Linked DNA regions of Notamacropus eugenii. The protein of the gene in region 1 interacts with the protein of each later gene in a biochemical or structural test. Links are inferred from orthologs where the notes say so. Each region holds a gene or a part of one and is shown in the gene's direction. Other genes may lie near its edges.

Region 1 (7,422 bases):
TTACCCCTCTCCCTGGTTATTTGCTCCTTCCTTAGCTTCCATGATGTTGTTCTTGCCTGAAAATGCTCAGAGCCTCTTTTTTGGAGCATCATCCATTTCTGAATGCCCCCAAATGAAGACTCAGCATACGTCCTCTTTTGTTCTCTCCCTCTTCTCACACTTGGTGATCTTATCAGTTTCCATGGGTTCCATGATCACTTGTATGAGGATGATTCCTAAATCTACATATCCAGCTTTATTATCTCTCTTGAACGTCCAAGTCCCACATAGACAACTGCCCACTGGACACTTATTTGAATGTCCTGAATCTAAAACTCAACATGTCAACAACAAAAAAATTGCTCCCTAAACCACATTCTTCTTCTATACTTCTCTTTCTCTGTTGAAGGAATCACCATATTTCCAGTTAACTGGATTCATAACCTTGGAATAATCCTTACCTCTTCTTTTTCCTTCACTCAAGTCTAACCAGTTGTGAAGTTTTGTGAATTCTACCTCTATAATATTTCCACAGTTATTCTGTTTGTCATTGACATAGCCGCTTCACCAGACTTTTACCAAATCTTGCCTGCGCTATTGTAGTAGCCTCCAGACTGGTCTCCTTGCTTCCAGTCTCTCCCATTTACAATCTATCCTCTATACAATATGAAAATTATCTTCTTAAGGAACAGGTCTATGTGCCTCCTTTCCTGAACAACTTCAATGGCTCCCTATTGCCTCTAAAATAATAAATATGGACATTTATAGATAGGACTTTATGATTTGTAAAAGACTATATATATATATATATATATATATATATACACACACATATATAAATCCATTTGATCCTCACATCCCTGCAAGGTAAATACTACAGGTATAATTACTCTCATGTTATAGATGAGGAAATTAAAGCTTAGAAAAGTTAAATTATCCATTCATCATGACATACTTATTAACTGTCAAAGGCAAGATCTGAACCCAGCTTTTTATGACTTTTAAGTCCAACACTTCTTCCATTATTCTTATTATTGCCTTGAACGTCTGAGTTTGATATTTAAAACTCTTCATAGCCTGACTCCAACCTACCTTTCCAGACTCCCATTTTACCGTTTACAATTCACATGTATTACTGATGTTCCAGAAAAAAATACACTATTTATTGTTCCTAGAAGCTACCTATGATTTCTTAATTGCCAAATCTAATGGCCTTTTCTCAATCTTTACTTTTTTACCCCTGTCTAGAATTTTACAATGTTGGTCACCGGCTTCCTTGGATTCACTACCATCTCTGAGATTTTGTAACTGCTCTCTCTTGGTCCTCTTCCTCCATCTTTGACTGTTTCTTTTGGACGTCCTTTGGTCTTTTTTTTTTTTTAATTCAATTTTCCATTCCAAATTTGCTCTCCTTTACTCATTGAGAAGGCAAGAAAAATGTAATTCATTACAAGTATGTATAGTTATACAAATCAAATTTCTGCATTAGGCGTGTGCAAAAAAAATGAAAGGAAATATATTTCAACTTTTTCTTTGAGTTCATCAACTCTCTTCTGGAGGTGGATAGGATGCTTCATTATGAGGCCTTTGAAATTCTGTTTGGTCATTACATTAATCAGAGTTTTTAAGTCTTTTAAAGTTCATTATCATTACAATATTTTTTTTTATAGCCATTGGGAGCTTTATTGACACAAAAGCAGTGGGCCTGAGATTTAGCAAGGAGCTAAACAAAGGTAGTGATATAGGAAAAGGACCAGGCTTATAGAGGATGACTTTAGGGTTTCTTTATGGGTAGTTGGAGATACAATACTGTTATTGTATAAATTATTAAGTGAGCTTCTGCTCACTTAATTTTGTATCAGTTCATAAGAGACTTCCCCGTTTTTTCTAACACCATCACTTTCATAATTTCTTATAGTATTCCATCATATTCATATAGCATAATTTCTTCAGACATTCTTCATTTGATGGGCATCCCCTCCCTTTCCAATTCTTTGCCATCACAAAAAGAACTGCTATAAATATTTTTGTACATGTGAATCCTTTTCCTCTTTCTTTGATTTCTTTAGGATATAAACTTAGCAGAAATATTGCTGGATCAAAGGGTATGCATGATTTAGTAGTTTTGGGGGCATAGTTCCAAGATTCTTGCCAGAATGGTTGGACTAATTCATGGCTCCACCAACAGTACGTTAGTATACCTATTTTCTCATATCCCCTTCAACAGGTCATTTTTTTTTAGGTCATAGTCAATTTAATGTGTATGAGTAGTACTTCAGAAATGTTCTAATTTGTGCTTCTCTGTTAATGATTTAGAACATTTTTACATGGTTTTTGATAGCTTTGATTCCATTCTTTGAAAACTGACTGTTCATATCATTTGACTTTTTATCAAATAGGGAATGACTCTCTCCTAAATTTGACTCAGTACTTTAAATATTTTAGAAATGAAACATTTATCACAAAAATTTGCTGCAAAGATTTTCCCTCAGTTCCTTATTTTTCTTTTCTTTTTAGCTATATTGGCTTTGTTTATGCAAAACATTTTTAATTTCATGTAATCAAAACTATCCATCTTACCTCTTATGAACCTCTCATTCTCTTATTTGGTAATGAAGTTTTCCCCAACCCATAGATCTGACAAGTAATTTCTTCCCTAATCCACTCATTTGCTTATAATGTCAACTTGTATGTCCAAATCATTCACCCATTTTGAGTTTATCTTGATACACAGTGTGAAATACTGGCCTATGCTTAGTTTCTGTCAGACTACTTTCCAGTTTTCCCAGGAGTTTTTGTCAAATAATGAGTTCTTGCCCCAATAGCTGGGATCTTTGGATTTATCAAACATCAGGTCACTGTGCTCATTGCTTCTGTATATTGCGCACCTAATCCATTTCACTGATCAGCCCCTCTATTTCTTACCAAATTGCTTTGATTGTAAAATAGCTAGAGATCTGGTATTCCTAGGCCCCCTTTGCAACTTCCCCCCTTTTCCCATTAATTCCCTTGATAATCTTGATCTTTAATTCCTCCAGATGAATTTTATTTTTTCCTAAATCTCCAAAGTAATTCTTTATGAGTTGATTTCTATGACACGGAATATGTAAATTAACTTCAGTAGTACTGTAATTTTTATTTTATTGGCTTGGCCTATGCATGAACAATGAACATTTCTCCAGTGACTTAGATCTGTATTTATCTGTACTAAGACAGTTTTGTCATTGTACTCATATAGTTTTTGTGTCTTGGCAAGTAGACTCCTAAGTATTTTATACCATTTGCTGTTATTTTAAATGGAATTTCTCCAACTCATCTTTCTGGATTTTCTTGATAATATATAGAAATTCCAATGATTGATGTGGGTTAATTTTATCCATTAACTTTGCTGAAGTTGTTTTTCATTAGTTTTTTCTGTTCTCTAGGGTTTTCTAAGTAAACTATTCTATCTACAAAATGATAGTTTTGTGGGTTTCCTATACCTATTCACAACTTCTTTTTGTCTTAATGCTACAGCTCACATTTCTAGTACAATATTGAATAAAGTTGTCCCAGCGGACATCCTTGCTTCGCATCTCACCTTACTGGAAATGTTTGCTCCTGGTTTTAGGGAGATACTCATCATTTTAAGAAAAGCTCCATTTATTCCTATGCTGTCCAGTATTTTTTTTAAATAGGAATGAGTGTCGTATTTCCTTAAAAGCTTTTTCTGTATCTATCAAACTAGGCATATACATATATTCTGTTTCATAGGCTCAGTTTTGCTCATAGTTTTCCTAACATTGAACCACCCCTGAATTCCTTGTATAAATTCAGCCTTGCCCTGGTGTATGATCTTTGTATTTTATTTTCCCAGTGAATACCGATGCATAATTTTAAATAAACAAAGCTCTTGGAGGTCTTTGGGTCCAACCCCCTCATTTTATAGAGAAGTTACGTGACTTGCCCAGGGTCACACAGTTAATATCTCAGTTTCCCAGTCACAAACCCAGTCACTCCTTCTCCTCAGGCTGTTCTTACCTAACCCTCGGTTGTCCTCACTACTATTCACCCTGGAGCTCCCCATCAGTCTCCCTTCCTCCATCCCCACCAGCCGTCTCCATCTCCTCAGTCCCTTCACGCTCCGCATTCCTAGGTCCCGTTAGTCTAGTGGATGGTCGGGGCATTGGCAACCACACGGCCAATAGGAAGAGAGCTTTTTACTTCTGTGGATGACGTTCACCAATCAGAGCACAAAGAGGCGGGTCTTCTGAATGAGGATTGGTGCTCACAGAGAGGAGCCGACCAACGCCTTTTCATCACCGTGCGTGGAGGAAGCCACTTCCGCCCGGCCCAGTTTGGCTTCTGGGAGGAAGGGGACATCTCTGTTCTTTCCTCCTTCCGGGATCCTGTCCCGCCTCCGGAAGTGTGCTCTGTCCCCGCCCCGGGTCAGGGGTGAGAGGCCGCCAAGTGGCCCAGGCACATTGAGGTAAGTCATCTGTTACCCGAAGTCTTATCCGGTATCCCTTTGGGAGGAGACGAGCCCCCCACCTTGACCCCCTGCGTATGAGGCCCGCCTGAAGGAGCTCGGCACTTCCGGCTCTTGCTTTAATTGCCCCGCGCCAGAGGGTTCCTGGGCGGGTGTCACCGTGAAACCGGCTTCTGCAGCTTGGCAGGGCCAGGAGCGGCAGACCCCTCGATCTCTCCTTCGGGATCGCAGCGTGTCCCCACGCCCCTGCCCCCACGCGTGTCCGCGCCCCCCTTCCCGAATTCCTGCCCCCCGGAGTCCAGCATCACAGTCCCTCCTCCGCGCTCCCCGAGTGTCCGAGCCGGGCGTGCCCGGCGCCCTTCCTGGGCCCGAGGATGCCCCCTCCCTCTGCGAATCCAACCGGCTCAGGCTGTCGTGTGCCCCCTCCCGCACCCCTTGGGGAGCCCCAGGACCGCTAACCGGCTGGGGAGCCGAGCGAGCCCCTCCCCTTGTGTTCCCACAAGGTTCTGAAGCGGTGGATTTATGGGACCCCCGCCCGAGAGGTCAGGGGGAGAAGCGGGAGGGGGCTCCCACGTCGGCTGTGGTGCCTGAGCCCTGAAGTACCTTCCCTCCTTCCTTCCTTCCTCCCTTCCTTCCTCCCCCCCTCCCTCCCTCCCTTCCTTCCTTCCTTCCTTCCTTCCTCCCTTCCTTCCTCCCCTCCTTCCTCCCCCCCTCCCACCCTTCCTTCCTTCCTTCCTTCCTTCCTTCCTTCCTTCCTTCCTTCCTTCCTTCCTTCCTTTCTCCCTTGCTTTCTCCCTTCCTTCTTTCCTCCCTTCTCTCCTTCCCTTCCCTCCTTCCCTTCCCTCCTTCCTTCCTTCCTCCCTTCCTTCCTTCCTCCCTCCCTTCCTTCCTCCCTCCCTTCCTTCCTCCCTCCCTTCCTCCCTTCCTTCCTCCCTCCCTTCCTCCCTTCCTTTCTCCCTTCCTTTCTCCCTTCTTTCTTTCCTCCCTTCCCTCCTTCCCTTCCTCCTTCCTTCCTTCCGTCCTTCTTTCCTCCCTTCCCTCCCTTCCCTCCTTCCCTTCCTTCCTTCCTTCCTTCCTTCCTTCCTTCCTTCCTTCCTTCCTTCCTTCCTTCCTTTCTTTCTTCCTTCCGTCCTTTCTCCCTTCCCTCCTTCCCTCCCTCCCTCCCTCCCTTCCTTCTTTCCTCCCTTCCCTCCCTTCCCTCCCTTCCTTCCTTCCTCCATTCTTTCTTTCCTCCCTTCCTTCTTTCCTCCCTTCCCTCCTTCCCTTCCTTCTTCCCTTCCTTCCTTCCGCCCTTAGTGTGCCTAACGTCCATGGCTGTTCTCATGTGAATTCACTTTTCAGGAAGAACCAGAAAAGTTGACAATCATCGTTTGGGTCAAAATGTCAGGAATCGGCAATAAGAGAGCTGCTGGGGAGCCTGGTACTTCAGTACCCCCAGAAAAGAAGGCTGCTGTTGAAGACTCAGGGACCACAGTAGAAACTATTAAACTAGGGGGTGTGTCTTCCACGGTATGTATGCATGCCACACACACACCTTCTTTACCCAGTACACGCTTTCTGAATACTTCTCATGTTGTCATACAAAGACTTTTGTTCTTGATCTTATAGTCCAGTAGGAAAAATAAGTTCCTTTCACAAATAGCTGTAATAGCTCAGCAGGACTCTGGGAGATGAAATTTGTCCAGGGTGGGGGAGCGGGGTATATGTAGCTGAGGGATGTATGTGTAATGAGTTAGTATTTGTTGTGAGCCTTGAAGGAAGAGCAGGTTTGCAGTAAGTGTATAGGAGGTAGTCATTCCAGGGAGGGGAATTTCAAGAATAAAGTCATAGACCAAAAAATAGATCAGCTAAGTGGTACAGTTGATAGAGGTCTCAGCCTACCTCCCAAGATTGTCCCAAGGATAAAATGACATATTTGTAAAACATTTTGCAAATCTTGAAGCCGTGTATAAATGCTAGCTATTAGCTATTATTGCTCCTTGAAATATCCATGATTCTTTGGGGGGTGGGGAGGAATGTGGAAGAGAGTATTCAGGAGTTTCTGTGGAAAAAATGCCATCGTCCTGGACACAACCTGGTGATTAAGCCTTTCAAAACTTAGCTCACCTTGTTGCTTCATGACAGGTGTGTAAGAGTCAGTCATGGAGCCTGTATTTGGAGCCTTCTAGATTTTGCTCCAGCCCTTTCTTTATTTTAATTCTGCTGCCTGTATCTTTCTGTTTTAAGTGTGTTTATTTTACACAGTATATTGTTGGATTCTAATTTCTAATTCATTCTTTTTTCTCCTTTTTTTATTGCTTAACTCATCCCATTCATATTTACAGTTATGATTACTGTGTATTTCCCTCCATCCTATTTACTTCTGTTTTTCATTCTCTCTCTCTTTAAACTGTTCCTCCTCAACAGTCTGTTTTGCTTCTGGCCGATGCCTCCCTTTTTAACCTCTAGCCCCTCCCCCCCCATATCTCTCTTCCCCTTCCCTCCTATTTCACTCTTAGGTAAAATAGATTTCTATACCCACCTGAACGGGTATATATAGTCTTTCCTCTTTGAATCAGCCATTGAGAGTGAGGCTCAAGCATTGCCACCCCATCCCTAATTTTCCCCTCCACCATAAAAACTCTTCCTTATGTGCTTCTTTTAGGTGAGGAAAATTTTCTCCATTTTGTCTTTCCGTTCCCCTGTCTTCCACTGCATTACACTTTAATACCCCTTTTTTGAGGGGAGTCCTCCCAACATAATCTACTCATGCCTGTGCCCTCTGCCTATGTGGACTTCCCTCTAACTGCCCCAATAATGATACAGTTCTTAGGAGTTACATGTATTATCTTCCCATACAGAAATATAAACAGTTTAATTTTATTGAGTCCATTATGATTACTCTTTCATATTTACTTTTTAATATTTTTCTTGAGTCTTGTGTTTGACTGTCAGATTTTCTATTCAACCCTGGTCTTTTCATCAGGAATCCTTGG
Region 2 (7,165 bases), about 330 Mb from region 1:
TCAGCTCTTTGACTGAATCCAAACTTCACAGAACAAATTCCCTTAATAAAAAGATTTGTTCTTAAAACTGGAACTCAGTCAAAATGCCCCACCTAAGAACCCAGAAGGCCACATGTGGCCTCAGGGCCTCAGGTTCCCCACCCCTAGAATCTCAAGTGAATTGATAGGGAAAAAAAAAAAAGAGGAAAAAGAGGGCCTAGCAGCACCAGATCTCAAACCACACTACAAAGCAATAATCATCCAGACAATTTTGTACTGGCTAAAAAATAAAAAGGTTGATCAGTGGGACAGATTACATAAACAATATACAAAAGCAAATAAGCACAATAACCCAGTGCCTGATAAATCCAAAGATTCCACTGACTGGCGTAAGAAGTCACAATTTTACAAAAAGTGTTAGGAAAAATAGAAATCAGTCTGGCAAATACTAGGTATAGACTGGTGTCCTATGTCTACCAAGATAAACTCCAAATGGATATATAACTTAGACGTAAAGGGTGATGTCGTAAGTAAAATAGATAAACAAGGAAAAAATTTCCTGTCAGGAAATAAGAGGAGTTCATGATGAAATAGATAAAAAAAAAACCACAGCAATTTTGATTGCATAAAATTACAAAGTTTTGCACAAACAAAACCAATGGAATTAAAATGTGAAAAGAAGGAAGTAAATGGGGGGGAAAAAACCTTTGCAGCAATATTTTGTGATAAAATTCCCATTTCTAAGATATACAGGCAACTGATTCAAATTTATAAGAAAAAGAGTCATTCTTCAACTAACGGAGTCAAGGTATATGAACAAGCAGTTTTCAGAGGAGGAATCAAAGCTATCAATAGCCATACTTAAAAAATACTTTAAATCACTAATAATTAGGGAAAGACAAAACAACTCTGAGATTCTACCTCATACCCATCAGATTGGCAAAGGGGACAAAAAATAGGACAAGTCTTTGACGCTTTGAAGGATCTGTGGTCTTATTAGTAAAGGTGCTCTCTTGGAGGAATCCATTCCTCCACATCTTCTCATTCTGTGCAGTTCTTGCCTTTGTCTTTCAGTAAATCTCCTACAGAGAACCCAGTGACTCAAATATATCTGATTTTCTAGTCCTGCCCTCTCTTGAGCTCTAGTCACATCTCCAGCCACCTTTGGGGTATCTCTACTTTGAAATTCTGCCAGCATTTCAAGATCAGTATATCTAAAACTTCACTATTTCTGTCTGTTGCACCACTATTTATTGAGTGTTCTATATTCATAACCTTAGGCTTATCTTTAATTCTTCTCTCTTCCTCACCTTATATTCCATCAATTATCAGGCAGTACTATCAAAGCCTACCTTCACATCTTTTGAATCCCTAATCTCTCTTGTCTTGCACTTTGGTCCCATATCACCAGTTGCCTGCTAGCCATCTCCATCTGGATGCATCTCAAACTCAACGTGTCTAAAATATAAGTCATTATTCCCCCCTCCCTCCAAACCCTTCTCTGGTTCATAGATTATAGATTTGATTTAAAGGCCATCTTAAGTCAAACTATTCTTTTTTGCAAGCATGGAAAATAAGGCACAGAGAGGTTAGTGTCTTGTCCAAATCCAAGATTTGCACCCTTATCTGATTCCAAACCCAGCACTCTTTTAACTATAACACAATGCCTCAGTATCCCTGTTTCTACTAATAGTATGACCATTCTTCCAGTCACTCAGGTTCATGGTCTGGACTCTTTCTTCTCCCTTAATCCCCATATCCAATGAGTTGCTAAGTCTTGTTATTCCCATTTCCTCACCTCACTCATATCCATCCTCTCTGCTTGACTCATACAGCCTCTTCCCTAGTTCAAGCCCTTATCACCTTTTGTTTTGTTTATAATAGTTTCCCTAATTGTATCCCAATACTTTCAGTCTCTCCCTTTTTTAATCCATTCTCAATGCAGCTGCCAAATTCACATTCCTAAAACTCATCTCTTGTCAACCCCCTACTCAAGAATCTTAAATGCATCTTTGTCTCCAGGATAAAATGCAAAATCATTAGTTTGGCATTTGCAGCCCTCTGCAATATGGTTCCCACTTACATTTCTAGTTTTCTTTCATCTTATTCCCCTTACCATCTCCAATCCAATCAAACCGATCTACTAGTAACTGAAGCAAATACTCCAACTTTTATCTCCATCCCTTTGCACAGCTGGTCATCCTGTTTCTAAAGGGCACTTCCTCTATATCTCCGTCTCAGAGACTGAATTTCCTTCAAAGTACAGCTCAGGTGCCATCTCATACATAAGGCCTTTTCTAATAGCACTCTTTCCACCTTGAAATTATTTTGTATTCAGTACTCAGTCAACTAGAATTTATTAAACACAACCTACGTGCTAAGCACTGGGGATACAAAGGAAGGCAAAAACAAAAAAAACAATCCCCTCTACTCCTAAGGAGTTCACAGTCTAAATGGGGAAACATGTAAGTAACTACATACAAACAAAATATAGACAGGATAAATTGGAGGTCAGCTGAGTGAAGACATTAAGATTAAGAAGCACCAGGAAGGCTTCTTGCAGAAGGTAGGACTTTAGCTAAGACTTCAGGAAAGCCTGTGAAGCTAATGGAAGGAGACTAGAAGAGAGCTTTCTAACCTTGGGGGGGACAAGCCAGTGAAAACTGGATCCTACCTTTATTTACTAAGTGTCTTTCAAAAAGTCTATTATAAAAATCTATTAATAAGATAGACTCTGTTTATATCCTTTATCATTTCCAGGCTCCTGATAGATGGAGAATTCCACTGGGACGCGGATTATACCGTAATTATCTTTGTATCTCACAGGGATCTTAGTTAGCTTTGCATCTCTCCTAGCACCTAGCATGTGCCTTGCACACAGTACTTATTAACAAACAGTTCTTGAACAAATGAAAAACACAAGACACAAAACACAATATTATATCAAATGCCAACCTTCTATCTTCCGACTTTTTTTTTTTCAAAGCAGAATCAAGGCTTTCTTATAGACAAAATCCACGAATTGTGATACAAATCCTCGAATGAAATAGTGCTCATTCAAGAAAAAAAGACATTATGCCTGAAATTCTAAGATAATTTGAAAACACACACACGCACACACCACACACACACCCCCCCACGCACGCACCTCCCTGGGGTTTCCAGCTCCAGAATGACCTCAGCGCAGAACAGAAGATGTCCACGCACACTGGGACATTTTATTCTTCTTTGTTGGAAGGGCGTACAAAAGCTCTTCCTCTCTACTACCGCCCTACAGGGGGATACACCGAAATCACTTTTCAACAGCCTGAGAATATTTTTATTCTGGCCTGGTTTTTCTTTTTTGGGGGGAGGGGAGGGCTAAGCCTTAAATTATATTGACACTACATTAAAGATTTTAAAGAAGCCCCTGGCTCAGGGCGGGTCCGTGTCCACCTTCTGAAAACTAACCAACCTAGTTAAATTTGGAGTCTCGATCAGCAGGGGGCCGCTAGGCAGGGACTTGTTCCGCCCCAGGAACTCTCAAGAACAAGAGGGCAGCGACGTGCGCCCGGAGAGGGAGTGCCCGCGACGACCAAGTCCCCAGGTCTTGAAGGCAAAGAGAAGGGCAAGCCTTCATTCCGACCGAGCAGTGCGTCTGCTACCTCCTGACCGGCGGCAGGACAACAGCCGCGGCTCCCGGTGGGGGACGAGGCAGCTCTGTTCCCGAAGAGAAGGTTCTTCCATCACTGCGGAACTGACCACTCTCCTCGCAACTTCACGGTTCCAGTACCTTCTCTGAAACAGTTCGGCCTGCGTCACAGGGCCACGTGGTCTAGTTCCCTCCCCACCCCCATCTGAATTGTTGACAGCATCACCGAGTATCACGTGATCTGACGTCATCGTCCTTCCTCTAGCCCGAAATCTCAGGAGCTAGCTGCATCACCCTCTCCAGCATCTCCGACTCCTCCCCACTCGGACGAGTCTAAGATTGTATCAAGGGGGAACTAGTACAGAATTGCTCGTGATACGGCTTCTGTTACTTACTATGCAAAGGAAATGAGGCCAATATAAGGAATATTGCATTGAAAAATAGTGATACAGTCAAAGACTCTATATTTTTCTGACGAAGGATGCAGAATTCGTTCAGACTCCTCCCTTTCCTCCCCCTCCTACAAAGTCGCCATAGTGGTACAGGCGGAGGGCGGAGGGATCTTTTGTGCAGCGGAGGAAGAAGTCATTGCGGGTTGTTTGTGAAGCTTTGGCGGTGGCGGTGCTCCTGAGTGCTACGGCCGGGGGGGTGGGGGGTGGGGAACTCGGGACTCTTTTCTCTCACACAGACCGCGGGGGAGCGGGGGGATCATGTCGACCCCGGCCAGGAGGAGGCTCATGCGGGACTTCAAGCGGTAACTGCCCCCAGCAGATGTCCCTGTCCTATTTTCTCGCTGTCTTCCTCTCTTCCCCGAAGCCTTTGGGCAGAAGAGGAGACTGGAGACCAATCCCGGCGCGGCCAGGCCGCAGGGCACCTTCCTTTTAGCTCCGACGCGGCCTGGCCTGTCTTAGATCCCGGGTTGGGGCTGGGGGTCGGGCCGGGTTTGAGGCGGCTCCTCACCGGAGCTCGCTGCACTCTCTCGTCCTTCGGTTCCAGGCCTAGGGAATTCCCATTTTTTCCTTCCCTTTCCTAGGTGAAAACGGAGCTGAGGGTGGGGGCAGGGGACTGCACAGGCCTCCAGCGTCGCCCACTTCTCCATCCCCATCCGTAGAAGGGGGCGTCCGACACCCCCGGGTTTGGGGAACGGAGGAGGGCCTGTCCGAGCCTCGTTTGTTTTTGTAATAGAGGAAGGTGATCGGACACCCCCAGGTTTGGAGCCGGGGGGAGGGGGAAGGGGAAGGAGCTGACTTCTTTGCCTGCCTGGGTTTCATTTGTTATTTTAATGAGGCGAATGTCGGGTGACACCCCCAGGTTTGTACGGGAGGGGTTATGTCTCTTCTTTCCCCCCCACCTCCTTCCTCAGGTTCTATTCTTTTTGTATGCCCTAGCGGGGTGTCCTTTTCTCTGGAGGAGGCTCCCCTTCCCCCAACCGGAATCTTAATTCTGTGTTTTTCTAATTGAATCCCACATCCCTTCTCCCGTGTTGGGGCTGGGCCAGAGCTACCCCTGTCCCTTCCGTGAGGGTGGAGAAGTTGGTGGAAGCTGGAGTCTAATCCTCTTCCTCTCTTCCTCCTCTTCCTCCTCTTCGTCGCCCCCCTCGGGAAAAAAGGGCAAAAACAAAAACAACCTTGCTGGGTGCTGAGCCAGCCCAAACCTCTGGTACCAGTCCTTGGAAGAGCTAGTTAGGGGTCTGTCGGGGATCAGCTCATTCTCTCCAGATATTCCATTTAGTTACGTGGAGAAATGTTGGATAAATCTTTGAACTAGTAACTTTTAAGGTTAGAAGAAATGCCTTTCCTGCCAGTACTGAAGGTGACAAGCACCTGGGTCCCCTGTAGTACATTTAGATTTTATTTTAGGATTTTTATCTGTTGATAAGGATGGGATTTTTGACAAAGTAGATTTTTTTCCAAGTCATTTACTGACCTTTGCAAACACTTGGAAGATACATAGGAATATAAGTAGTGAGGAAATGTCTTACTTGAGCCTTATCTTTTCCTCAACATTTTTTTCTTTTTGCTTAAAAGAGAAGTGTTTTGAGATGACTTCTTTGATCTGGAGAAACCTGCGTTGTTTGTCACAAAGTTATTTTATTAGTTACTTAAAAATTAGAGTGCTTTCACCACACCCTTTTAAGTTCTCAGGTGAAGTGCTTGAGAGATTTTTTTCCTTAAGTATGAACCAGTTCTGTCTCTTCTTCAGACTGAGCTGTTCTGGGTGCCTTTTCCCTAGGGGAAAATGGAATGATTCTGCTTAAATGCTACTAAAAATTTTTTTAGTATGAAGATAAATACTTACGTGCAAAGCATTGTACAATTTGCAACGATATTTTACAAGTAAAACTTTATAGCTTTATAGCCCTGCATTGAAGCTTTTAAAAGAGGGTTACCTGAATAAGGGGCAAAGTAGGTGGTTGTTAACTCCATATCCTATTTGTCTTTGTTCTCTTATTGGAAGGTAACACACTTGATGAACTTTGCAGAAAAATTAGAAGAGTCACCTGTATAATGTACTCAGCTTTTGGATTTTTTTTAACATCTTTAAAACATTTTATGGTTCAGATATTTCATTGGTTAGTTTTTTTTGACAATTACCTTAAGTAATAGGTTTCCAACTTGGGTTCCAGGTACTGAGCATTTTTAAAAATTTTGCTTTGGATACAGCTTAATTCTGGCAACAAAACTTTTTATGTACTACATTTCTAGATGCCAAAAAAAAATTGTACCTTTAGGAGCTTGCTGGAGTTAATTAGCAAGAAGTTGTGGCCATTATGGAAGATATATCAATCCTGCCACTTAGCTTGCTGATTGTCTACTGAACTTGCTTAAGAGGCTATGATGTTTATCCATAAGGGGGGGCGGGTAGTGAATTGGAAAGTGTCAATTATAAAAGGGAAATAAATATGCACTACTTGCATATGAAAACTTCAGCTTCCTGTAGTTGCACTGTCCTTGTTGTCCATTGGGCGCTGTTGTTCACCAGCGTTGTATCCTGGGGTAGCTTCATTATTCTGAACTTTGACTTGCTTCTTCAGGAACCTTACTCTTCTTAAAAGCCACACCTTGCTGAGCAGTTGAATCTACCCTTTAAACGCTGGCTATTTAGAAACTCTTTACTAGACTCTAACCACCTAATTAATTAGCTGCTTGACCCTGGAAGAAGCACTTAATTTGTTTGAGCCTCAGTTTCTTGTCTAATTGTAGAATAATGGTAGGTACATTAATTTGTAGTGCCCATTAGTGTTAGGGGGATTAAATGATATAGATGTATATGAACCGATTTGTCCATAAAGCCTTGTTCATTCCATTTGTTGCCATTTTTGTGTAGCTGTTTTGTTTAGAATCATAGTGCTCACAAAGTCATTACTAGTGTAAGAGACTACTATTTACTATTTACAACTCCATCCTGCACCATTATGTACAAAATAGCCTTTTCAGTTGTGAGAGCTGTGAGATAAAATTTTAAAAGGTAATGTATCATTTAGTGATACTATACTCAGAAAAAGCATTGTTACCTTTTCTTCTAATCTAGGCTTTCTTGTACTTGCAACCTCTG
Region 3 (8,012 bases), on another chromosome or scaffold:
TTTCCATTTGTTTAATTTTCCTTTATAAAAAGCTGTTCTCTTCAGTGAATTCTATTTTCATACTTTTAAAATCATTGGCCAGTTTTTCTTCTATTTCCTTCTTCAGCTCTTCCAAGACTGCTCTTTGTGCATGTGAACAGTTCATAGTCCCTTCTGAAGTTTCAGATGGGAGTACAGTCTCAATACTGACCTCTTTGGTATTCGTGTTTTGGTCCTTGTTACCATAGAAAGATTCTATGGTCTTTTCCTTCTTGCTCTGCTTCTTCTTACTCACGATGATGACACTTTGTGTATTGTGGCCTCTGGTTCTTTCAGGTACAAGCTAATGAACCTGGTGCTGAGCTGGCTGATGTGAGAAAGCAAAGGGCAGCTGCCTTTATTTTGGTTTTGTGTTTCCCTGGATTAGCCCTGAATCTAGCTTGTTAAGTGTCGGGGAGGGGTGGTCTGGTCAGGAGAGATCTCAGCTGAGCTAGAGCAAAGGCAAGCTCAGGGGTGGGTGATTCTGGTTGCTTTAGTGTCTTCCCATTTCCCCTGAGGCATGGCTAGGCTCCTGGTGTTGATGGCTGTTGGCTCCACCCTGCTGGGGTCCTCTCCTCCGGGTTTGCTGAGATGGGGCTGTCTGGGATAGTTCAGGTCCTGTGCTGTGCTTGGCTATTTTCCTAGCCTCAGATGCTATGAGACTGTTTGCCTCTTCTGCTGATCCCACTGATCCAAGATTTTTCTGGGGAAATATTTTATGGTTCTTTCAAGGTCAACAAGGGGAGGGGAGAGAGCATTTACTGATCACTCTGCCATTTTGGCTCCCAGAAGTTCAAGTAGATGACTTACAGACATTTAATCTGTGGGCTGATGGTCTCTGGTACAGCTGCTGCAGATAGCTGGGGCTCCATCTGCAGCTCTCACTCGTTCTGCTTGACTCTCGCCCTAAGCTGCTATCCTGCTGTGCTGCTGCTTCCTCAGGCCAGGGCTTTCCTGCTCAGCCCTGCTGCAGTCTGGAGCATTGCACTGTGTGCTGTATGCTCTTCTACCCCTGTGGAACAGGACCTTCCAGTCTGTCCTGGGCTGTGAAACGGCCAAAGTTTGTCTCCTATTGGATTCTGCACCTCCAAAATTTGATCAGATTCTCTTTTTAGAGGTATCTGAGGGAGTTTGGCTAAGAGCTTAGGTGAGTAGTTGCTCTCACTCTGCTGTGCTGGCTCTGCCTCTGTGGTTCTAAAATAGATATGAACATGGTTATCAGCTGTTAAGCTCAGACTAAAAAAAATAAAATGAAAGAGAAAGAAATAAATGAGAAGATGACTGGTGGAAGCAAGATAAAGGGAATAGAATTTACAATGTGTGTGTATATCCTTTGTTGCTGAAGAAGACCATGCCATCAGAGAAATGACATGACTTGCATTTGACTTTTGTTTTGAGTGAGGGAGGGCTGTGTAGGTCACTAGCCTCACTTCTCCTCCAGAGCCATCTGAATCCAGTGACCAGATATTCATTAGGATGACTGGAGATGACCCAAGATGAGGCAGTTGGGGTTAAGCGACTTGCCCAAGGTCACACAGCTAGTGAGTGTCAAGTGTCTGAGGTGAGATTTGAACTCAGGTCCTCCTGACTCCTGCACTGGTACTCCATCCACTGTACCACCTAGCTGCCCTAGAATTTACAATATAAAAAGATGGATTAGCCTTAGTGAAAAATAGGTATACTTCTTTTGTGATCCAAGTAAAAGAAAAAGATTATTGATTTTGAGGAATCCAAGGAGGCTGAGGGAGCTTATCTGAGATGGCCTCAACCTTCCCAGAAAAATAGGACAGCTAGGTCACCAGCTGTAATGGAAGTGGTAGGTGGGGGAAGGTAGGCATGGACAGGCTGATTTTAGAATACCCCATGCTAGGGGTATAATAATAATATAATATAATACAATCTGTTTCATAGATCAAGAAGTCTAAATCCTTTGTCCTTGGGTCACACAGTCAGTACTAGAAGTGTCCATTCAAGTTTTCCTGCCCTCATACAGGATCTTAGCTGTTCTCCTGGAGGATTGCTTTTTTTTTGCAAACCAAGGCTGACTTACTAGAAAGCATCTTGCTGCTGCTTTGCCTGCTAGATCCTTATTATCACCAAGATTTTGCAGCTGCTGTGAATCTTCACCCTCCTACATTCAAGTTTTCTCCCTCTAACAGAATGAGCTCACGGGGAGGGAGGATCATCTCTAGGGAGTGGATGGAGCACTAGGAGGAGAGTCAGGAAGACTAAGAGTTCAAATCTGGCCTCACATACTTAGGAGCTGTGGGACCCTGGCCAAGTCCTTTAACTTGTTTGCCTCAGTTTCCTGATCTGTAAAATGGGGACAGTAAGGATTGTTGTGAGGAGGAAATGAAGTATTTGCAAAGTGCTTAGCAAAGTGCCTACCACATTGCAGGCACCATATAACTGTTAGCTAGTGTTTAGCACAGGGATTAGCACTTAATGAATACTTTTCCATTCCATTCCAAAAGCTGATCTAAGTAAAAGCCAAGAATTTTCTTTTGGAAACGAAACTGAGAAAAAGTAAAACTATACATAGCAATTATGAACACAGACAACAGGTTTTTATGACTTATGCGGAGTAAGGATCCCTGTAAATGGAGAAATTCCACTAATATTGTGTGGCGCAAATTACTGACATTTATATAATGCCTGATGTAATATATATTATTAACATAATGTCTTATATATTATCTTATAGAATAACTTCTATTTTAACCTCTCAGCTCTTTGTGATGGGCACAATGGTTATTCTCACTTTACAGATCAGGAAACTGAGGTTTAGCAGTTAATGATCACGCAGCAAATGAGTGTTCGGGGCTAAAGTGGAACTGAGATACTGTAAACTTCAGGTCCTTGACATTCTTTGTAAGCTCCTGGAGGGCAGAGAACCTTTATTTTTACTTTTGTATCCCCAGCACCTTGCCCAGTGCCTGACCCACAGTGACTGCCCATAAACGCTTGCTGATTGACGCTCCTGCCCTGGTTAGATTGGATAAAGTAGAAGATAAGCTAAAATACGGAGGCTAAATGTCAGTAACTGGAGGACAACTTGTAGCAAGGTGAGACTGGCAACTTTCCAAAAGGCAACATACGGTATCGATTTTTTTACTGGTACCTAGGCAGCTAGCGGCTCATGGGGTGAGCACCGGGCCCAGAGTGAGAAGACCTAATTGAAGCCCATTCTCAGACAAGTCTCCCCAACTGCAAAAGGAGGATGATGACAGCACCCACCTAGCTCCCAGGCAGCCTTGGGGCAGCGTATAAATCCTGGCTGTTCTCACTGCCTGGGTCTCTGCCAGGCCCCGATGCAAAACCGTAAAGCAAAATTTCTTTGCCTTAATATTGCGTCTCCTTTCCCACTACGTTCCAGGGCCCACTCCAGAACTGCTTAGTAGAATAACTTTCGGATAATTTTTCCAAATCAGGGAAGCAGAAAAAAAGACTCCCCCCTCCATCCCTGCTGCCCAACAGAACGGGAAATCCCAGGCCTCACGCTCCCAAAGAACCAATGGCGCGCGCCCCAAACACAGGCTGAAAATGCCGAACGTTCAGAAACACAATTCCAGACTGGATTTTATTTTTTCCCAACACATACGTCTAGAATAAGAGGAGCACTGGAGGTGAAGAAGGAAGACCAACCGGTGGGAGGAAAGCCGGGGGTGCGACTCGCATAGTTCTCGGAGGACGCAGGGGAGGCCGGCAGGGGAGGCCGGCAGGGCAGGGCCGGACCGAGGCCCCCGGCGCCGGCGGGGTACAAGGCCCGAGCCTACAGACTCCCCCGGCTGCGGGGTCGGACTGGCCATGGCGGGGCCTCAGTCCGACCCTCGTCTCCTTCCCTCCATACAGGTACCCGCATAGGCCTCGAGGCCTCCCTTCCCTCCACGCCACCTAGGGCGGACCCGGAGGCCCCGGGCGGAAGCCCCGGCGCCGACCTCGGCTTTCCTATAAATCCCTGTAGCGTAAGAGCGGCGGGGGGCTCTAAGCCGGACACAAATGTCCTTCTGGCCCTCGGGGTGAGCGCGGTCCGTACCCCCTTCCCTCCCGCAGTAGGTCCGCTCCCGCCCGCCCGGGCCGAGGCACCCACCAGCCCCTCCTCCGAGGGCAGCCGCCTCCACGGCGGGAAGCCGGTATCGAACTTCGGGGCGCACCACTGCCGCAGCAGCTTAGGCTTCCTTCGGACACACACAGAAGGCGACCAGAGGCCTCCGGCGCGCTCCGAGGAGAGGCGCAGGGGCGGAGGGGGAGGGGAGAGAGGAAGGAGGAGGAGGACGTACGCATGGGGAGGGAAGCGGCGGAACCGGAAGGAGCCGACGGGTCGCGAAGAGGCGAAGTACGCCGAGTTCGGCGTTCGGGAACAGGGAAGGGAGGGGAGACGGAGGAAGCGCTAGGGGAGGAGCGGCTTGGCGGAAACTGCCGATGTTTTCCGAAGGCGGTGGCGTCCGAGTTCCCCGGATGTAGTTGGAGGAGCGGCGGCAGCGGCGGCGGCGGCACCAACAGCGGCAGCGGCGGCGGCGGCGGCGGCGGGAGGAGGAGGAGGAGGAGGAGGCGGCAGCGGCGACGGCGACGGCGGGGGGAGGAGGTGGAGGAGAAGGAAGAGGAGGAGGAGGAGGAGGAGGGGGCGGCGGAGGAGGAGCAGGAGGAGGGGAAGGCGGAGGAAGCCGTCGCTCTCCGCTGGGCCGAGCCGGTCGCGTCTTCTTTCTCCCCCCTTCCCCCCGGTGCGCCGCTGCCGCGGTGTAGTTGGCGCCGCTGCCCCCGCCGAGAGCGAGCGAGCGAGAGACGGACGGAGCGAGCGGGCGAGCGAGCGGGAGCGAGCGTGTGCGCGGCGCCGGGGGAGGGCCATGGCCCGAGAGCGCCGGCGCCAGTAACGGAGCGGCGCTAAGACCCGCTGAGGGGGTGCTGGCCGCCGCCGCCGCCGCTGCCCGTCCGCCCGCCCGCCCGCCTCCCGCCTCCCGCGGCCCTCTCCCCCCCTCCCCGACACACACACACAGGCCGGGCATTGATGGTAATGTATGCGAGGAAACAGCAGAGACTCAGTGATGGGTAAATCCTCTCTCTCTCTATGTCTGTCTCTGGCCGGGCTGGGGCCGGGCCGGGCCGCGCCGGGGGCGGCGGGCGGGGAGGGGGATGTTCCTCCTTATCGAGCTCGGGCCGAGCCGCCATTTTTGTTGTTAACCCCGATCCGGGCCGGCCTGCGAGGAGGCGGCGGGGGCGGCCGCGGGCCGGGCCGGGCCGCCGGGGGCTCCTGGGCGCCGCCGCCCCGCGGCCGTGCGGTCGGCCCGGGCCCGTGGGCGGCCGGCCTCGGGTCCTGGGGGGCGGGGGGGGGTTCTGCTCGCCTCTCCCTCTCGGGGTGTTAATGTCGCTGTCTGTCTTCCTGTTTTTCAGCTGTCACGACCGGAGGGGGGACTCGCAGCCCTACCAGGTACCAGCCGAGTCCTAGGGGAGGGACGGCCGGGGAAGGCGGAGGGAGGGACCGACTGCTGCTACTCGAGCTTAGGCTTCAGCCGTCGGCGCAGGCCCTGCGGGGCAACGAACCCGAAACCAGCCCCCCGGAACCCCACGAAAGCCGGGCTCGGATTGGTGGAACGACTGCCCCCGGCCCGCATGGGGGGGCCCCGGAGAGCCCACGAGCCCAGCCCGGATATTTTAGCGGGGAGGGCAGAGAGGGACTAGTTTAAATTTTGGGGGGAGGGCGGTCTTCGTGAGTGGCAGCCTGCTGAAATTTTAAAAAGGCAGCGAGTTGATTCTCTTTGCTATGGGAGTGTACCAAAAGTCTGAACCCCAGTCCGGAGTGATTTCACTGCCTGTTCAGAGTAGGAGCCAGCCCTGGACACTTGGGAGCTATGTCCTGAGGAGACATCGGGGATTCGAGGGGTTTTGGTTCCTTTTCAGGGCAGCTCTTGACCAGTGTCTCATCAGAAATTACGTAGGACAGTCCTTGTGGTTCTTTGAAATGGATGACTTTTCAAAAGCTATCAAAAATGGATGACAGCTGTCAGAGGACACTTAGGGGTCTAAATGAGAGGGATCTGCAGATCCCTCAGCTAGTAATCCTCTTATTCAAAATTTCTTGACTTCTTGTGCGTTTGTACCTCAAACCAAGTAAGTTACAACGCACTACAGTGTGTCATACAGCATAATATTTGTTTTGAAGATGTTAAAGGATAGGTCATGTTTTCCTTGATATAATTGCACATTATAATAGCCTGAAACGACCTGCTTAATTCTCTAAGGAGAATGTAAGTCTGGTTCTATTACAAAGGCAGCACTTTTTCAAAGTTATCCTCTGCATTTTAATTTACCTTTAGAATTAAATATTTAATAACGTAGGATCCCAGAGTTAGAAAGGAACCTTAGGTTATTTAGCTTTAAAATTAAGTATTTAGTATCATAAGATCCCAGAGTCAGAAATTAAGTTACGGTTAATTTAAGGTTAATTCTGATTCCTTTTTTTTTTGCATGTACAGAGATGAAATTTGTGATTAAAGAGCTTCTTGTAAATGAAATCCATTGGCGCCTGTTTAGATACATAGATGAATTTTTAGGGCAGAAATGGATGACCTAGTACTCAACTATCGATTTCTTATGCTTTAACAATCCCTAGAAATGGATAATGGCTAAATTGGGTGGATAAATAGATACCAAAATGTCCAAATAATTTGGGGAATATAGACAATAGGAAATCACCATGAAACAGTAGACAGAATGCTGATAGTATATGATCAGAGGATTTAGGTTCGTATCTCAGTCTGTTGCTTATTACCTCTGTGGCAGCAGCATGCCACTTAAACTATCCTGAACTTCTGTTGCCTCATTTATAAAATGAAGTAGTGGGACTATATGACCTTTGAGTCTCTTTTGACTCTCACTGTATAGTATTATAAGGTCATTTCTGTCCCCATCCCATCTTTCCCAGAAAGGTTTATTAAGGAATGATGCCCCAAGATCGTTTCAAGCAAATATTCTGAAATATTTAAATGAGTGATTAGAGATCTCATTATTTTGAATCATTGCTATTTATAGACACATTGACTTCTTGAATCATGTTTGATTAAAATTGATGTTTTAAGTCATAAAACTTAACGAAATAAATTTCATGTTGTCATAATTAAGGACTCAAGTTAAAGGTCTGTGCTTTTCTTTGTATGATATTTTGTAGGCTCTTAAATATTCATCGAAGAGTCACCCCAGTAGTGGCGATCACCGACATGAAAAGATGCGAGACACCACAGATCCTTCACCACCAAATAAAATGTTACGACGATCTGATAGTCCTGAAAACAAATATAGCGACAGCACAGGTCACAGTAAAGCAAAAAGTGTGCATACTCACAGAGTTAGAGAGAGGGATGGTGGTAAGTAGTTTTACTTACAAAAATTTTGTACCTATTGAAATTTTTTTTTTTTTTTGGTACGGTCAATCAAAATCAATCTATGAAATAGAGAACAGAATTATGTTATTAGTGGTGAACTCTGCCACTTTTATCTCATCAGTGTTCTTTATTTTTTGGTCAGAATATTTTGATCCTTTAACTTAATCTAGAAGTAAGATGTACATTTAGAAATTGAATTGGCTTCACCAAGAAGATTCTTAACGACTATAATAGTATTATTGGTTGGGACATGAGGAGAGGTTAGGAATTGACTGTGGGTGTATATAGAAAAGAGCTCTGATTATTTTGGAATCAGGAAAATAAATAGAACCAATCTTTTCACATTTTTAAAAAAGGCATAAAATAATTTGAATTTGATTGTTTTTTTTAATTGCTCATTTTATTTAAAAGCATTCAAGTTCATATCTTTCTGATAACTTTTAAATCCTCAGAGGCAATTGAAAACCCAAGTTTGAGATATCTGTGGCAAATGTAAGCAATTGGTAACACTGAAAGTATTTCCTAGCTTTCTTTTCCACTTTCCTCATGACCCTGGAGATATCTTCATATTTTTCCCCTTATAGATAAAAATTTTTGTGAAGTAATATTTCATATTCT
Region 4 (7,325 bases), on another chromosome or scaffold:
GCCTCCCACAGTTACCTCCTCCCATATTTCAAAACCCTCCCTTTTGTGTTCAGGTCAGGTTTGAGTGGAAGGCTTAGGACAAAACTAAATCTCACATCTCGGCCTGAGCATTCGCTCTAAACCTGAGAAAGGCCCTTCAGAGAAGCTTAATGTTGGGGACTGAAAGATGATTTGGAGTCTAGTCAGGCCTGGGTGTCTGCCAGGGGCCTGTTGGAAGCTACAGAGGAAATGACAGGGATGTTTTTAGAATGGAAAATGATATCATTCCTTGGCCCCCTCCCTCTAGAGGGGGCACCCACAAGAGGCTATTTGAATGGGCACAGAGATGTCAAGGTGGGATGGGGGTGGTAGGGGCTTTGCAGCCAACAGAGCTATAGTTAGGCTGTACCCGCCTGGTGATTGTTTGCTTGAGAGAGTTCTGCCATGGGCCCATTCACTATAGCAACCCTGCTTCTGGGGAGGAGCGTGGGGGCACATTCTTCCTGAGGCACAGTCCCTTTCTGAAATCCGGCTCTGCTGGCCACACACAGGGAGGCCACACACAGAGGCTTTGGGAACAACTTGAGCCAATGTCTCTGAGGTTTTGTTTTGTTTTGTTTTTTTTGTCAGGTAGTCCAAGGGAGGAAGGAAAAATGCCACGTGGAAGAGAGGCAAACCCATCAATCAATCAATCAGCATTATTAAGCTATGTACCGGACACTGTTGGAATACAAAAATAAAAGTGAAATATCAGAAACATGAAGCATGCAGATCGCTGCAAACCATCTCATAGTCATTGGTGGATAGGTAGGCATATTAACCAGCGCTAGGCCTCCCCGTCTTTTTCATGCCACCCCCTCCCCCAGTCAGTCCTCAAAAACCTATTTTTGTCATGACACTCACCCTTGTCCAAGGACCTATAATGGCTCCCTACCAAACAGAAAATTCTCAGCCTAGCGTTCTAAGGTCCATTATCAAGTATCGCCCCCCCCACACTCCCCACCCCTACTCCACCCCCAGTTGCTTTGCCAAGTCCAGCTCTCATTTCTCCCCAGGGAGTTCTAGTCAGGCTAATATGCCTTCCCATTCTCTCCACATGACTGACCTCCATACCCTCTATAAGTTATGTTCCTTAGTACATAATAAATGCTTGATATTTGTTTAATCAGGGCAGTGAGGTGCAGTGGAGAAAAGGTTGAATCTGGAGTCAAAGGGCCTCAGTTTGAATCCTCCCTGAGCCTTAGTTTCCTCTTCTGTAAAATGAGGGAGTTGGACCTTTGAAGTTCCTTTCAGCTCGAGATCTAGGATCCATTCTGAAAAGGGAGGTGGTGAACAGTATCAAATACTGCAGAGGGATGAAGACAGCAAGACTGAGTAAAAACCATTGGTTTTGGCAACTTGTCAGTGAACTTTGAGAATAAATTAGTTTTATTTTATTTTTTAAAAATCATTTTATTGATGCCTTTTCTTTTTCCAGTACAGTCATTTCAGTATATACCCATTCATTCCATCATCAAATTAGTGATGTAGCCAAGAAAATATTAAAACTTTTAAGTAAAGCCAACCAACATGGTGACTATGTTTGACAGCGTATTCGACATCCCACTTCCCAACTTTCCCCTCTACCGAATGGAGAGAGGTGTTTCTTCACCTCATCTCCAGGGCCAAGACTGGTCCTCTCCATCTCTCAGTCTTCAGTTTTGTTGGTTTTCTTTATTTTAATTATTTATAATATATAATTCATTTTCATCTCTGCTTATATTCTTTTACTGATTCTGCTTATTTCCATCTGCATCAGTTCATACAAATCTTTCCACGTTTGAAAGAGCAATTCCTGTAGAGAAAGTTTGGATAGGGGGAGATAGCAGCTAGATTTCAGGAGTCTGGGAGGTGAAGCCGAAGAGATAATGAATGAGTGTAGAAGACTTTTTCTTTTTAATATCTGCTGATAGCTTTTGTTCTTATATCACGTTCATTTCCAAAAATTCCATTTCCCCTCCCAGCCCAAGAGAGCTGGCCATCCTTGGAAACAAAGAATACAAAAAGGAAAAAAAAAAGTACTTTGTCAAAACTGAGGCTAAGAGTATATGCCCCACACCTACAATGAAGGGAGGCAAGTGCCTTTTATCTGTACTTCTGTCAAATTTTCCAGGAAAAGTAATTTATCAGAAGAGAAAAGTTACCATAGTGAGTGTGATTAGTTTTGCTGAACTGTTTTTCTTATCCTCTTTCTTTTAAATTATTTGTAAGAAAGGATAGCTCCCTGAGGAGAGCTGTGTGACCCAGAGTGAATCATTTAAATTTTAATAGCATTTACCTCACCAAGGCTTTGAGGATCTTTAGAATGTAAGCCCCTTTCGGGCAGAGATGGTGTCACTTTTGTGTTTGAATCCCCTGAACCTAATTAGCCTCTAGTAAATGTTTATTGATAGCTTAAAGCTTGATCAAAGGGGATAACCCATTTGTAAAGCCCTTTGCAAAACAGAAAGTTCCTTAGAAATGCTAATTACTTGGTGTAATTGACTGTTACCACTCAGCTTGGTCAGTTTCTTTTTTATGGGTAACTCATCCCATGTTTTACTTTCGCTTAAAATCTCCTTTGGGTTGTTGATTCAAATTTCTAAGATAAAGAGCTATTCCCCAGTAGATAAAAATGGTCTAAGGATCTGAACTGACAGTTTTCAGAGGGAGAAATCAACAGCTTTGAAAAAAAAAATGCTCTAAATCACTAATAGAGATATACAAATTAAAGCAACTTTGAGGCTCCACCTAGCAAAGATGACCAAAAGAGGAAAATGATAAATGCTAGAGGGGATATGCGAAGACAGGTACACCAATGCACCGTTGGTGGAATTGTGAATCGGTCTAGCTATTCTGGAAATCAATTTGGAAGTGAGCCCAGAGAGTTACCAAATTGTACATGCCCTTTGATCCAGCAATGCTGCTATTATGCCTATACCCCAAAGAAATTGAAGAATTCAAAGTGTCTATGTGGACTAAAAATATTTTTAGTAGCTACTTTATGTGGTAGCCAAAAATTGGAAACTAAAGGGATAGCTTCCTATTGGAGAATGGCTAAAAAGATTGTGGCTTATATGTGTGATGGAATGTTACTATAACAGAGGAATTAAGAAATGGCCGGTTTCAGAGCGGAACTAGACCAACTTATCCAAAGACAGCATTATAGACAGAAACAATTTTGACTGTAGAACTCTGAACAACGCAATGACAGATCACGACTCCAAAAACAAAACAAAACAAAACAAAACAAAAAAACAAAGCTGAAATGAGCCACTCACCTCCTGAGAGGGGATAACTTTTTTTTTTGGACGTGGCTAATGCAGGAATTTGGTTTTGCTAGTTTATGTAGCTATCTATTAAGAGATTTGTTTTTCGAGGTTTTTTATGCGCTAATGGGGGCAGAGGTAAGGGGAGGGGCAGAATACTTTTAAAAAAAATACTTGTTATTTGAAAATAAAAATAATAAACTAAAAAAGGGACGGGGTGGCAGAAGTTCCTTTGTAACAATACTTTGTAAACAATTCTTTCCCATAACTGCTAGCCCCTCTCTCGCCTGCTGCTCTCCAGGCATCCCTCCGGTTCCTGGACAAGACATATCCAACTCTGTTATTGAGTCCGTGGGCCCAGGATGGTTCTCCTGGTTACCAGTGTTTGTAAACGTGGCTGCAGAGTCACAGGGTTGGGACAGAGTGGATGCTGGCTCCATTTCTGTCCCCTCTCCCTCTCCACCTCAGGAGATCTCCCACACTGACTCCCCATACTTGGGGCGGTAGGGTATAGTTTCACCCCCCCGGGGCCTCCCCCCCCCCCCCCCCATCAGTAGATTAACTCGAACTGTCTCGAAGAGTTCACTCCTTTTCCTCGGTCCCCTTTGATGTCAATGGTACAACCCTTCTCCAGGATCTCTCTGCCTTGTTTCGTGGGTGTAAGTAAAGCTGGAGCTCTGCTTTCCCCAGCCCCGCTCCAGGCTTGGCTGGCGGGCCAGCTTATACCCCCCTGAGAACTCCTTTCACTGAATGGTACAGCCCCAGTGTTTCTGTGGAAGCGCCCTAGAGCCGGAGGTTGGCGGCAGCGGCGGGGAGGGGGGATTGATGTAGAACTAAAAACGTCCTTCCATAAAAGCACCAGTACTGCCCCTCCTTCCCTTTCCCTGGAGTTGCACTGTTAATTATTGCTTTTGTGAGCTTGCTCATCCCCCCACTCCACCCCCTTCTGGTGACTTCGCACAGCTTTTGTCACCGCCTTCCACTCGTCCTCCCCCGCGCCTCAGCAGTGGTGCAGCCTTCTCCTCCTCTGTCTCCCCTCTGGGGCCACTCGGGTTGGTATTGGCCCTCCCTCCTCTGGGCCAGGGGCTCCAGCGTTCCCGTCGGAGTCCGACTCTGCGCCGGCTGCGTCTCCTCTCGATCCTCCTCCTTCTCCTCTTCCTCCTCCCCCTCCTCCCCCTGCCCCTCCTTCTCCTCTCCAGCCGCCGCCTCATCCTCCTCCTCCTCCTCCTGCCGCCCGGCCGCTGGTCTATGCCCCACCCCTGAGCCCGCAGCAGTCCGCGACATGTCCACCCCGGCTCGGCGGCGCCTCATGCGGGACTTCAAGAGGTGAGGAGGGGCGGCGCGGCTGACCGGGGGTCGCGGGATGCGGGGCGGGGTCCCAGCCGGGGGCACGGGCCAGGCCGGGAAGGTCGGATCGGATCGGGCCGGGCCAGAGGGGCCTGACCGGGTCGGGCCGGGCAGGGCAGGGCAGGACTGAGCTCCACTTGCGCTCCTTCCGCAGGCTGCAAGAGGACCCCCCTGCCGGGGTCAGCGGAGCCCCGTCCGAGAACAACATTATGGTGTGGAACGCGGTCATTTTCGGGTGAGTCCGCCGGGGGAGCCCTGGGGCTGGCGGGCGCGCGCACGGGCGAGCGGGAGGCGGGGGAGGAGGAGGGGGCCAGGGAAACTGACTGGAGCGGGACGGGACGGAACGGGAGGCAGGGTGCGCGGGGCCGGCCTCTGGGCCGTCCCGAGCCTGGGGCTGGAGTGCCCTGCCCGCGGGACTGGGAAGGAAGCCGGAGCGGCTCGCCGTGCCCGGAGATGCCAGCAGGGGCCTCCCCGGCTAAGGGCGGGCGGGGGGCGAGGGCAGCTGGGTGCCCCCCTGGGAGCAGGTACTTCGTGCGGGAACAGCCGGCACTGACTTAGCCTTGCTTCCCCCTCTCTTGCAGGCCCGAGGGGACCCCGTTTGAAGATGGTAAGGAGCGCTATCCTTCCTCCCTTTCAGAGCCGGCTGTTGAGCTGGGGAAGGAGTGGGTCCCCATGCAGTCAGCCCCGTCCCCCTCTTTCTTCTCTACCTCCTGCAGGCGAGAGTAAGCTGCCCTTGTATGGCAGGTTGTTCAGGCTGCTGACCACCTGACTCCAGTTTTGGTACCTTTTATCGGGGCTTGTAAAGGGGGCACTAGAGCACAACTGTTCATTTTTGTAGTGTGGGTACTGTATATATGGCTGGCCCTGCGGAAACCGCCTGGGCTTTCAAACTCATTTCCACACGCGTCATGGACTCTTAAAAGATAGTGGGGACCATAAAGGTTGCCGATGTCATTCATGCTCTCACTCACTGCCAGAAAAACCCCTTCTATTTGTCTTAACCTCTCTTCATCCCCATCACTTGAAGGACTGTCATTTCTAACACATCCTCATTCTCAGGGAGTAGATAGGATACTTTTTTCAGGTATTTGAAACATTGTCCAGGCTTAGGCTAGTTCGTTGTGAACTCAGAGGACAAGGACAAGGATCCCATGGGAAAGGCTGCAAAGAAGTAAACTTCGTAACAATTACAGGGAGTCATAGTTAGGAGGCCTTCTCATTGGAGATAGATTATGTGGAGTCTGAGGATCCTTCCAACTCTGAAATTCTGGGATTTTTTTCATTTTTTGCCAGACTAACCTAAACACAGTTTAACTGTCCCCTTTAATGACCAATTAAGGTAAAAATACTAGGTGATCCCCAAAGTCTTAATACAGTTTTAAATTATTGAATATTTAACAATCAAAGCTTTTGTTTCGTAAATGTTACATTAGTTGGTGGAATCCACCATCAAATCTTAAATTAGTTTTCATTTAACGCTGCATCTTGGTGGTGAAAGTGTCTAGTACTAATGTCATTGGGCACTTGAATATTTCAAGGTACTCCTTTCTTTACTCCTTGCCTCTTCAGGTACTGTTTAGTAAAATAAAAGTCCTAAAATAAAAAGAAGTGATAGAGCATAAGAAGGCAGTTTGCAGAAGCCAGGTTGAATAGAGTTGGCCTCTGAGGCAGGGTGACCTGGGTTCAACTCCGGCCTCTGACTGGCCAGACTTTGTCAACCTAGGCAGGTCACTTATCCTCACTTAACCCCAGGGCATTGTAGATCAGCATTGGTAGAAGTAGTTTCTTCATCCAGAGATCCCTATACCAAAAAAATCACAGGTCTGAAAAATCAGTTGAATGCTTTCTTCTATAACTTGTGTTACTTGTACCCAGATTTAATTTTTCACTAATAGATTTGTGTCTCATTCTTTCAACTTAAGCTCTCTGTGCACATTAACAGTGTGTATTTGTTTGAGTAGCTGAGCTCTCCCAGCATTTGTTTTGGTTGACTTCCCATCTCATTTTCCTCAGAAAGCATTTTGCTGACAGCTTTATTGTACAGCAAGCACCGATGAGAGTTTAGCTATTTCACAACTGTGTCTGACTTTGGAGAGGGGGGTGGGGGTAGGGGTGGAAAGAATTTCTTATCTACCTGGACCTTAATAATAATGTCTATGTTTGTGATGATGTGATAAGTCCATACTGACCTCAATATTAGGTCTGAAAGGCACTGCCCATGTTGAATATGTCTAATTTTTTTTCTACTTAACAATCGGTATCTTTATGTACATGCTATACTTCCTCAGGTATTTAAGGTTACTAACTACCTGTGGCTATCTATCTGACAGTTTGTCTATCTGTGTGATGTTTTTACCAGTCTATGAATGCTCATTTATCAGAGAAAAGATTTACATAGAAAACACTGACCTATCTACTGCATTATTGCCTTTGGCCATTTCAAATGTATTATGGAAATAAGGAGCAATAGGAAATGTCTTAAATAGTTCTTAATCTACCCTTACAAACTTCAGAGTTTACAGGGTCTTACTGATCGGTCTCTGGAAGTTTCTGGAATGACCAGTTCCTAAAGGAAAGTGCAGTTTGAGCCTGAGGGAGCAAAAGAGAGAGGCTGTTGAAGTTATTTTGAAGTGAGATAATGTCTCATCATCTAAATGAATGCAGATATTAGACAATACTTTAGATCACAAAAAAATTGGCACTAGACACTGA

Evidence for each region.
Region 2: the proteins of RNF20 (region 1) and UBE2B form a complex in vitro, tested with the Homo sapiens proteins (4 studies listed by BioGRID, with this or other methods). The link is inferred for Notamacropus eugenii from reciprocal best matches to the Homo sapiens genes RNF20 and UBE2B.
Region 3: the proteins of RNF20 (region 1) and WAC form a complex in vitro, tested with the Homo sapiens proteins (2 studies listed by BioGRID). The link is inferred for Notamacropus eugenii from reciprocal best matches to the Homo sapiens genes RNF20 and WAC.
Region 4: the proteins of RNF20 (region 1) and UBE2A form a complex in vitro, tested with the Homo sapiens proteins (4 studies listed by BioGRID, with this or other methods). The link is inferred for Notamacropus eugenii from reciprocal best matches to the Homo sapiens genes RNF20 and UBE2A.

What each region holds. Positions count from the first base shown.
Region 1 is NC_092872.1:15,704,936-15,712,357, forward strand, and holds the start of RNF20 (E3 ubiquitin-protein ligase BRE1A), read left to right. Parts: upstream 1-4,300; 5' UTR 4,301-4,447; exon of another isoform or gene 4,448-4,989; intron 4,990-5,788; 5' UTR 5,789-5,827; coding exon 5,828-5,956; intron 5,957-7,422. UniProt on the Homo sapiens protein: Component of the RNF20/40 E3 ubiquitin-protein ligase complex that mediates monoubiquitination of 'Lys-120' of histone H2B (H2BK120ub1).
Region 2 is NC_092872.1:340,822,219-340,829,383, reverse strand, and holds the start of UBE2B (ubiquitin-conjugating enzyme E2 B), read left to right. Parts: upstream 1-4,165; 5' UTR 4,166-4,320; coding exon 4,321-4,364; intron 4,365-7,165. UniProt on the Homo sapiens protein: E2 ubiquitin-conjugating enzyme that accepts ubiquitin from the ubiquitin-activating enzyme E1 and transfers it to a E3 ubiquitin-protein ligase. In vitro catalyzes 'Lys-11'-, as well as 'Lys-48'- and 'Lys-63'-linked polyubiquitination.
Region 3 is NC_092874.1:69,111,612-69,119,623, forward strand, and holds the start of WAC (WW domain-containing adapter protein with coiled-coil), read left to right. Parts: upstream 1-4,915; 5' UTR 4,916-5,006; coding exon of another isoform or gene 5,007-5,021; 5' UTR 5,022-5,023; coding exon 5,024-5,064; intron 5,065-5,406; coding exon 5,407-5,443; intron 5,444-7,180; coding exon 7,181-7,376; intron 7,377-8,012. Other genes in the region: uncharacterized protein, read right to left, coding at 4,109-4,899, 5,007-5,021.
Region 4 is NC_092879.1:43,329,867-43,337,191, forward strand, and holds the start of UBE2A (ubiquitin-conjugating enzyme E2 A), read left to right. Parts: upstream 1-4,246; 5' UTR 4,247-4,548; coding exon 4,549-4,592; intron 4,593-4,767; coding exon 4,768-4,848; intron 4,849-5,194; coding exon 5,195-5,220; intron 5,221-7,325. UniProt on the Homo sapiens protein: E2 ubiquitin-conjugating enzyme that accepts ubiquitin from the ubiquitin-activating enzyme E1 and transfers it to a E3 ubiquitin-protein ligase. In vitro catalyzes 'Lys-11', as well as 'Lys-48'-linked polyubiquitination.